Canis lupus familiaris: one gene and its partners. The main gene of each other region encodes a partner of the protein of the gene in region 3 in a complex. Links are inferred from orthologs where the notes say so. Each region holds a gene or a part of one and is shown on either strand. Other genes may lie near its edges.

Region 1 (3,691 bases), on a different chromosome or scaffold from region 3:
TTCCTCAGGTGTGTTGCAACAGAAAAATAACTGAGTTCTTGTAATATGTATAATGGAGAGCCAATGAAGATTTAGGGAGGAAGGAAAACTATATACCAGGGCTGTTTCAGAAAGCTCTGGAAGTTGTTAGCTGAGTGGAGTAGAGAACGTGGAGTACACCCTAGAATTGAGGGGTTACAGGTTAGGACTAGAATGGCAGCCACATAGGAAAGTAAAGGGAAAAACACACTTAAGGGCGAGGGAGTCAAAAACTGGGCAGGGTGGCACCTCAAACATGTGGCTCTCTCTTCAGTCAGGGATGTAGACCAACAGGCTAATCCTGGTACACATGCTGCCAAAGCAAGCAAACAGCACAGACAGCTGACATGCCAAGCTAGCCAGAGTTCAAACTTGCACCGATGGCCATCATTTCCTCCCAACTGATGCTTGTGAAAGACTGCCTGGGAACACATTAATCCCCTCAGCTCTAACCAGGTATTAAGTCATCGCACCAGAGAGTAGTCATTGAACTGCACATTAGCTTAGTGTCCGTCCAATCAAGATGCTTTCACTAAGTTAGGGATTTACTACCATACCTTTGGCTTTTATCAAGGGTCATTAATAGGCATGACTAGGTAAGTGAATGTTTCTACATCATCTAGTGAACCCATTACTTTATAATTTTATGTAGAAGTGCACTTCTTCCTAGGACTTAATGCTGAATAAATTTTTCTCTCTTAAAGAATGTATATGCCTCTTTCTTACTGAAAAAAGAAATTCAGGGCTTGGCTGCCAGGAAGCTCACAGCTAAATTTATTATTTATTTATTTATTAAAATATTTTATTTATTTATTCATGAGAGACAGAGAGAGAGAGAGAGAGAGAGAGAGAGAGAGAGAGGCAGAGACACAGGCAGAGGGAGAAACAGGCTCCATACAAGGATCCTGATGTGGGACTCGATCCCGGGACTTTGGGATCACGCCCTGAGCCAAAGGCAGATGCTTAACCACTGAACCACCCAGGCGCCCCGCTAAATTTAATATAAATTGCTATTACTATTTTAGCAGAGGTTCCTGGTACAATTACTTCTGATCTGTCTCTATTTTTACAGTTCCTACTTTTTGTTTATATTGTAAGCCTCCTTTAATCCTTTTTGGAAGCATGAAGGGTACATATTAAATAACGACTCGTAAAATGACAGGAATAGGAAAATGGCCTTTGGGGGAGGGATGAGAACATTCTATTTTAAACTATAGTTGGTCTACTGTGTAAGTAATGACTCCCAATCAAGTCCTGTGGATTCAAGTCCTATGGATTCAATGTCCTTAATTTGTCTTGAAACTATTGCCCATGTTTCTCTACTCCCACTGCCTCCTTCAAACCATTCTCCTCATTACAGAGTGAGCTTTCTAAAATACAAATCTGATCATGGTACTTTGATGAATCTTCTCAGTCGTCTAGAAAAAGAGCAAAACCCCTCAACATGGTTCATAAGGCCCAACATGATTTGGCCTATGTCCACTCCCTCCAACCTTATCAATTTTATTCTCCTTCAAGGTTTGGAGAAAGGAGAGTAGGCCTGCATGTACCACACAGACTCAGTACCTTTACACATTCTGCATCCCCCCCACCCCTCCACACACACACCGTTTCTCCTTATCCTGCTCCCAGCCCTACTGCTGTTCACTGAGTCAAGGCCTACTTTTCATACTGTAGTAAGCTTAAACATCATGTCCTCCAGGGAGGCCAATCCTAACCAATAACTCTGGCTCCCGTATATTACCACAGCACCCTAGCTTACCATTTTTTTCCCCTCCTTATCACAAAGTATTTCAGCTGTTAATCCAGCTGGTTCCCCCCACTGGGGTCTGGAATACGAGTAACAAAGTGGTGTTTTCAATACTTTACGCTTCCCTAGAACTTACCACAGTGGTTGGCTTGCCCTAGCTCTTCAACAGATATTTTTTTAAATTTTTTATTTATTTATGATAGTCACAGAGAGAGAGGGGCAGAGACACAGGCAGAGGGAGAAGCAGGCTCCATGCACCGGGAGCCCGATGTGGGATTCGATCCCGGGTCTCCAGGATCGCGCCCTGGGCCAAAGGCAGGCGCCAAACCGCTGCGCCACCCAGGGATCCCTTCAACAGATATTTTAAGAATGGACAGATTCAATCAGCACCAGTGCCGGTCCAATCCAGAGAATGGACCAGGCACTGGACGTATACTGCTGGACAAAACAGACCATCTCTAACCTGACAGAGCTTACAATCTAATAGAAAAGTATAAACAAGTAGGCAAACCAAATCTAATTGCAATTCGAAATATATTATATGAAGGAAATAAATGGACCACTTTTTAGAGCAGTTAGGGAAGGATTAACTAAGGAGACATTGACGTTGAGATTTGAAAGGTGAAAAAAGTAGGCTGAGCTCCTGTATTTTGTGAAGAGATCCTTTTCTACCTTCAGGTGGATAACCAAGCAGTAGGCCAGAGTCCATACTGCGTGACTACGAGGAGCTCGAGTACGTTAGACGTCAGAAGTGAAACACGCAACCCGAGAAGTATACGCTTGGTTTCTTCCATGGTCTGGGGTGCCTCGGAGAGCCCCTCATCCCTGAGCCCTCCAACCCCATCCAGGACTCTCCCACCCGCTCTCGAATATCACTCCCAGGGCTGATTCTATCCATTCCCCGCCCCCTTCTTTGTCCGACGTTTCTCCGTTCAGGACTCCTAGTAGCTTCCTCCCCTCCCTCTTCCTGGGCCCGACTCTTGCCTCTGTGAAACCCCCGTAAGTCGTCTGGTAGAACTCATCTTCCTCCTCGGCTTCCAGGAGCCCAGAAAGCCGGTTCCCCGCGGTCTTCCGGGGGGCCCGGCCACCGGCCAAACTCATACTGCCTACCGAGACTGCGCCGCCACCAGCGGCCCCTCACCCAGCGCGGTATCGGCGCTCGACACAACTACCTGCGGCGGCGGGCGGCGGCGGAAGCCCTTCGTCCACAGGCAGAAGTAGGAGAGCGTCGAGACGCTTCTAGGCCCGTCTGTCAAGCCTTCTTCTTCTTCTTTTGTTTTTTAAGATTTTATTTATTTATTCATAGAGACCGAGAGAGAGAGAGGCAGAGACACAGGCAGAGGAGAAGCAGGCATCATACAGAGAGAGCCCGATGTGGGACTCGATTCAGGGTCTCCAGGATCACGCCCTGGGCTGCAGGCGGCGCTAAACCGCTTCTTTACCCTGCAGCCCCGCCCACGGGGGGGGGGGGGGAGCGGCGTGGAGACGACCCCCAAGCTCCCTCCCCTAGCTCGCGCTGATCTGGACTGCAGAATGATTACCGGGTGACGCCAGCAGCCCCACTACCCTAAGTCCAGAATTTGAGAGTCAACAAATGTTCACTTAGAAGAGGTCAGTCTCCCTCTGCTCCAGTCCGTTTTCCACTCTGCTTTTAGTGATGAACCTTTCTTAAAAAACAGACTTTGTCAGTCTTCTGCTCAAAGATCTTTAATGGGGATCCCTGGGTGGCGCAGCAGGTTAGCGCCTGCCTTTGGCCCAGGGTGCGATCTTGGAGACCTGGGATCGAATCCCACATCGGGCTCCCGTTGCATGGAGCCTGCTTCTCCCTCTGCCTGTGTCTCTGCCTCTCTCTCTCTCTCTCTATCATTAATAAATAAAAATTAAAAAAAAAGATGTTTAATGGCTCCCTGGCATCTACAGGTT
Region 2 (2,803 bases), on a different chromosome or scaffold from region 3:
TGAGCACATCACATTGGTGTCCTTGCCCACATCCTATCTCCATGGAGGTCTGAGCTTCAAGGCTTGGATTCATTTTAAGTATCCGCCCACATATCAGGCTGAGGGCTTCCTGAGAATGTGACCCCATCTTGGCATCATTCTATTAATAAAATAACTCAAATGGATCATGACCTTATCAAGTCAAGCCACTGTGACTTCACCAAACAGCTAAGGCTCCCTCCTGTCTCTCAGGTCAGAACTTAACTATCCCAAGGGTTCAGTGAGTGGTGAGTTGAGTGGAGTGATGTAAGATGCTGGGAAGCAAAAGGGGGCCTTGCGGGTGGGGGACATAGAAGAGTTCACGGATGATGAGGGGCAGAGTCCCTTGTGGGCTTTAAGAGACTGACCTGCCTGAATCCAAGGAGCAGAGACCAAATCCACACAAATCAGTGCTTCCTTATTTTTGCTGAGTTAACATCACTTTAGCATTTTGAGCATCCACTATCTGCAAGGCTCAGGTTACAGCTGGGATAATGAAGCACTGGTCCTCACTCAGGAATTTGTATGGTGGCATATGAAGCACTGGTCCTCACTTAGGAATTTCTATGGTGGCACAGAACCAGGCAGATGAGCAACAGTGGCTCACCTGGTTTCTGCTGATGGCTCCCTGGATGGGAGCATATGAGTCAGATTTGTGAAAAGTTGGGTGGTGCTTAGAACCTCACCCAAGGAAGAGTGAGGAGCTGAAAACCTAGCCCAGACAAGCAGGGTAGTTGCCCTGAGAATGGAGAAAGCCTTGGGAGAGTCCCACCTTTATTTCTGGCCAGCTACCCTGGTGACAGCAGGGTTAACAATCATAGCAACCTAGCTTGTCTACAAGGGAGGCACAATGGCAGCACTGGCACTGAGCCTGGGCCCGCATGTACCCACCCCGGGGCCCCTGGCCGGGAGCAAAGGTACTACTCACTGAACTCGATCAGCAGCTTGCCGTAGCCCCGGCGCTGGTAGGGAGGCAGGGTCAGGATGCAGGCCACATTGTAGTCTTCTGTGGATTCCTTTTCCTGGAAAGGGGAGGAAGGTGAGTGAGGAGGGGACACAGCTCAGGGCAGGGCCAAGAGATGATCTGGATGAGCACTCACCTTGGAGAAGTAGCCGACGATGTGGAAGCCCTTGCAATCATACTCTGTCATGACATAGAAGAGGAAGGGATCTGTATCATAGTACAATGTCTTGTGGTCGAGGAAACACTTGGCCAAAAGACACAGGTTCTGGGAATAACTCTGCAAAGGAAAAGGCGTGTCACCACTCTGGGTACCCTGTCTTAAATGTGGTCATTTGGTTTCTTTACCCAGGGCTGATAGATGATGAGTCTTCCTCCCTGGCACCTGACCCGTTCTATTAGGCTGTCCCTCCTACTCAGGCAGAGCTAATTCTCAGAGTCAAGGAGCCCATGTACCAGCTCTGTGATAGTGTCTGACCTCCTGTCTTGCTGGTGAGCTGGGCAAGTTTACCCCTGTTCCCCATACCTCCCCCTAAGTCTTGTCTGGGGGGTTTCCACTGCTCTCTGCTGCAGTAACAAAAGTCAGTAGGTTGTGGCATGTCTAGAAAGACACTGCCAAGGCTTAGGAGAGGACCTCTACCCTGGTGACAGTCTTAGGAATCTACCTTTTAAAAACCACAAAACTAAAAAAATAAAAATAAAAAAAAATAAAAAATAAAAACCACAAAACTCTCCCGCCTCCAGTCACACATACTGGAGACTGATCTCCTAACCTACAATGGAGATCAGGTGTTCTGAAACTGAAAGTAACTGCCTTAGGGGTCTCCCCACCAAAAGGATTCATCTTGCTGCTTTGCTTTACCTCTATACACATTTTCTGCATATGAGGCATGACTTTTTAGCCAGATGCTGGGCCATCAGGATGCCCAAGTCCACACAGAACAGTAGTGAAAGCAGCCTCCTTCCCTTGAGCTTCCTCAGCACCCAGGCCAGAGCTCTACCCTGTAATTCAAGATGCCCTGCTTCTCCCTTACTGCCCCCTCTTTGCCCCAGGAATGGTCCCACAGTCTTAACGGTCCAGATTACTCCCTTCTTCCTTCCCACAGACTAAGGCAGGTTTGAAGCCCAAAACCTGCAGTGACCCCTACTCCTCCCCCAACTGGCCACCTTCTCCCCACCTGAGCTCTGTATCTTGGAACAGCCTTGCCTCATCCTCTCTGCTTCTCAGCCAGAATGATCTTTACCTTTCCCACCATCTGTACATCCACGACTGCCCTTCAGAACCCCACTCCTTGGGCTTCCCTTACCTATCTTATCCTTCATGTTAAGGATCAAAGATCATCTCCTATGTGAAACTGCTGGCTACCTCTGGGTCCTGATAACCCATCCTTTGTTTCATGACACTTATCCCTGGGATCTGAGTGGATGTTGGCAGATCTGTTTTTGCCATGAACTGTGAACTCAAAGATTCTAATTACTGGTCATCTTTATACCTCCCACTAACTACCTCACAGCAGAAACTCAATAAAAATGGAATGAGCTAATCTGTTGGCCAGACTGCCTAGTATTTTCCTGAGCAGGAAAAAGCTGCTCGTTTAACTTCCCCCAGACCACCAGTGCCAATGACTCCCCACTGCCCCTCAGCCACAGACCTTGTTCTTCCGTCCATCAATCTCAAAGAAAGAGATGGTACCCTTGCGGTAAATCTCATTGCCTGGGGGGTGTCGCAGGTCACACTTGGTCTGAGGAAGAGAGGAGGATCAGAGGCAGGGACAGGGTGGGGGATGGTAGTAAAGCAACCTCCTTGGACCCTTCATACCAAGT
Region 3 (3,654 bases):
AGCACTAAATAAAATAAATAATTTCAGTGTCCAGACAATTCTAAAGTAATTAAAAACTGCAATTAAGACTTGAAAATGAAAGAAACATACGTATAAAGCATTCATTAAAAACTACATCCTGGGATGCCTGAGTGGCTTAGCAGTTGAGTGTCTGCCTTTGGCTCAGGACATGATCCCGGGATCTATGTGGGATCGAGTCCCACACTGGGCTCCTTTTGGGGAGACTGCTTTTTCCTTTGCCTGTGTCTCTGCCTCTTTCTCTCTCTCTCTCATGAATAAGTAAATAAAATCTTTAAGAAACAAACAAAAAAAACCCTCTACATCCTCAGGTTTCTTCCTGAAAGCACCTTGATACTATGTTCTGCCTTTTTTCCCCTACCTATACAGGATTATCTTTCTTTTTCTTCACTTTTATGTGTTCTGTAATTCCTTCCTGCCTCCCACACAAATTCTCACACAAGGCATCTAGAGTGTACAGGGGGTACTATCATGTTTAAACAAAAGAGTGATTAGATCCTGAAAAACTGGGTGTCAACGTCAGACCATGCATGGATCCTGGAGCCTTTTTAAAAAAATATTTTATTCATTCATTCATTCATTCATTCATTTGAGAGACAGAGAGAGAGAGAATGAGTGCACATGAGCAGGGGGAGGGGCAGAGGGACAGGGCTCAATCTTATGACCTGAGCTGAAACCCAGAGTCAGATGCTTAACCCAGTGAGCCACCCAGGGACCCCTTCTAGAGTGTTTTCACTGAGAAGTTAAACAACCTAGTGTACTAATTACATGACATTTCTTAGCCTATTCAGTCCTTTCTTCTAATATGTGCCAGAACTTCTGAAACAACTTTTTGTAATCTCTTTTAGTATTTTAGTCAAAAAAATCATTTAAGAACAGAAAATGGAAACAAATGAGCTATTTAGAAGGATTCCCTCTCTAAAGCTCTAGATTTGATTACCCTACTGTCTTTGTCCCTACTGTACCTATGCTAGGAATACAGAAATAGTTACCTTCCACCACGCCCAACCCGTCTTCGTGTAAATCCAATACACCTCTGGGGTACAGTGAGGGTGGTTAAGCAGTATCTATATCGTACATCCCCTAATCCTCCATCTTTAGGACTAGTCCAAGGCCAGTTGCCAGTTTGGTCTAAGTGAGGCTAAAAACAAAAAACAAACAAAAAAATTATTTTATTTTGTCAGTTAAAGGCAAACAACTTATTATTTAAAAAAGAGAACCTGAAACTTACAGCATAGTACTGACAGCCTGCTTTCCTACGGAAAGCAAAAGGACCATCAGGATCATTTTCTTCTTCAGCTTCCGAAGAGCCAGACAAGACCTTTAAAATAAAATGAAGTGGGTCAAAACATGTGACTTCCTATGTCACTCCTTCCTTCTCCTCTATGCTCATAGAGAAATTTTTATCTTTACCTGGGAGAGAGGTTCTTCATCTGAGCTGGGAAAGTCATACTGATTTAAATCTTTAGCATTAAAGACGGGCAGTGCAGCAGGACTCGTCTGTTGAGGAGTAGCAGCAGCAGACGATGGTAAGACTTTGGGCTTCTTTTCATATTTACGTTTAGGTCGGATAAGATCGGCTTTATCTTGCTGCAATAAAGTCGTATGTTAATCAAACACTAGAAACCATGTTCAACAAACCTGCAGTTTGGGGTATGCTTTAAAAACAGGATTAGAGCTATAATGAAGTCATTCGCACTCAGAAGAGATCTAAGACGCCTATGTTTTGTCATCTTATATTGTAAAGTATTACAGGTTGGTTTCTGTGAAACATTGACATGTTCTTACAACCTAAACATCATCTCATAAAATATTTTGTTTCATTTAAAGTAAAAGAAGAGAGGTTCTTCAGCTTCTGAAATCCTGTAACTACAGTTAGTATTTATCATTGGTTCCTGTACCTTTTCCTAAATTTTCTATGAAAATTCTAGGAGAAAATAAAAAGGGCGGGGGGTGGGGGGAGGTCCTAGTCTTTATTCTAAAGAGTTAACAAATCCATTTTGGGAAAATAATAAAGCAAACAATCTTAATCTTATACACACACAAAGCACCTCAGATAACTCCTAATATGTAGGTGTCACAAAAATAAAGGGAAGTAAAGATTTGGCAGCTAAACAACAAAGGCTTTCTGGAGTGAATCTAGGCAGTTTTAGATGATACAGAGATGAAATCATTAAACAGGGACAACACAAGGATAAAATACAGAAGCAAGAGTGATTGAGCTGATAGTGCACGTTAGAAATATGTGTGCAGGTAAGAGCAAAGGCTAATTAAAGTATGAAGTGTATGACAGGTAAGAAAGGTTACAGGTAAAAATACCTGTTGGAAAGAAAAAGATCACGGCAAGTATCATGGCTGTGTACAGATACTAAATGTCTGTATCAAGTTTTATGTAGTTTATGGCATTACAGTTTTTTGGGGGAAAAGTTAATTCTTAAAGAGTTCATCTATACAGTATCTCTCTTTACTATTCCTACTGTTGTATTAACAGGTTAGTCTTGAATCAAAAGCGGACTTTGCAGCATAGTTCATGGTAGGGTTTATATGTATTTTTCTTTTTCACTCTAATGATAAAACAACATTCTATTACCAGCTACTATTATCATAAAAATTTTTATCACCTTATTTGCTTTGAATTCCTTCACATCCATTGCTTCCTGATGTTTAAACTGACTGCTATTAGTGATCGGGATGATGGGGATGGCATAAGTAGGTTTCATTGGCTGTCTCTGGGCCATAACCTCAGACACGATCTCTCCATTATAGTCACCCAAATTATACCTGAAATTATAGAAAAGAAAGCTGCAAAAATTAAAGTTAGTTCTGTAAATATTTAGGACTATTAAAGCCTGAGATACGATTATAGACACTGAGTAGACTGAAGGCAATATTAAACTTTGATTACTTGCTGAATGCTAATTTAAAATGAAGATTACATGATTCCTTCGGTTTCTTCCGTTACTTTTTGGCTTATAGCTTTACCTTTGCACCATAAATAGATAACTGTGGGGAAAAAAACAAAGGTTCAAATTTTAACTTACCAATTTTGGTGAAAGATTTGGTGGAGATATTGAAATTAATGCCTAAAATGGTGAAGAACTTTCTGCTAATTTGAATTGCCTGTACTATATAAAACTAATTTTCCTTAGATGAATTATGAGAAATTTAATAGTGGTTTTCTTTGGAGATAGTGACTAGGAAATAGGGAAGTGAGGCTTGAAGTTTTCATTGTGTATCTTGTGCCAAATCGTTGAGTGTTAAAATTATGGGCCTCTTCCCCTCCCTTCTTTATACTTCTGTTAAAAAACCCAGTAGGTGTTTAAAAAAAAAAAAAAATCAGTACCATCTGGTGAGTAAATGAAAAACTTTATAACTGACAAATATTCTCTCCCTCCCAACATTGCACTCAAACTCAAATAAGGACAAAAGAATAAGATTATACCTGGCATATTTTAATTTTACCGAGCCCTGTCTGTCACTTTTAAAGAAAATAAAGAGAGGAACAGATGTAAAATTATGCAAAGTATATCATATCACACATTTAATAATCTCTACTTATTATTAAAGGATGGTATTTCTAGGGTTAATTCATTAGGAACCATACTACAATACACATAATACTAACGGTATGATACA

Evidence for each region.
Region 1: EPC1 (region 3) and VPS72 share a complex: the UniProt entries of both Homo sapiens proteins name them as parts of the nuA4-related complex. The link is inferred for Canis lupus familiaris from reciprocal best matches to the Homo sapiens genes EPC1 and VPS72.
Region 2: EPC1 (region 3) and KAT5 share a complex: the UniProt entries of both Homo sapiens proteins name them as parts of the nuA4 histone acetyltransferase complex. The link is inferred for Canis lupus familiaris from reciprocal best matches to the Homo sapiens genes EPC1 and KAT5.

The regions. Positions count from the first base shown.
Region 1 is NC_049238.1:60,907,304-60,910,994, forward strand, and holds the start of VPS72 (vacuolar protein sorting-associated protein 72 homolog), read right to left. Parts: upstream 2,943-3,691; 5' UTR 2,870-2,942; coding exon 2,753-2,869; intron 1-2,752. UniProt on the Homo sapiens protein: Deposition-and-exchange histone chaperone specific for H2AZ1, specifically chaperones H2AZ1 and deposits it into nucleosomes.
Region 2 is NC_049239.1:52,003,401-52,006,203, forward strand, and holds part of KAT5 (histone acetyltransferase KAT5), read right to left. Parts: coding exon 2,799-2,803; intron 2,722-2,798; coding exon 2,632-2,721; intron 1,260-2,631; coding exon 1,119-1,259; intron 1,041-1,118; coding exon 947-1,040; intron 172-946; exon of another isoform or gene 1-171. UniProt on the Homo sapiens protein: Catalytic subunit of the NuA4 histone acetyltransferase complex, a multiprotein complex involved in transcriptional activation of select genes principally by acetylation of nucleosomal histones H2A and H4.
Region 3 is NC_049223.1:12,483,865-12,487,518, reverse strand, and holds part of EPC1 (enhancer of polycomb homolog 1), read right to left. Parts: intron 2,800-3,654; coding exon 2,640-2,799; intron 1,609-2,639; coding exon 1,432-1,608; intron 1,340-1,431; coding exon 1,250-1,339; intron 1,160-1,249; coding exon 1,011-1,159; intron 1-1,010. UniProt on the Homo sapiens protein: Component of the NuA4 histone acetyltransferase (HAT) complex, a multiprotein complex involved in transcriptional activation of select genes principally by acetylation of nucleosomal histones H4 and H2A.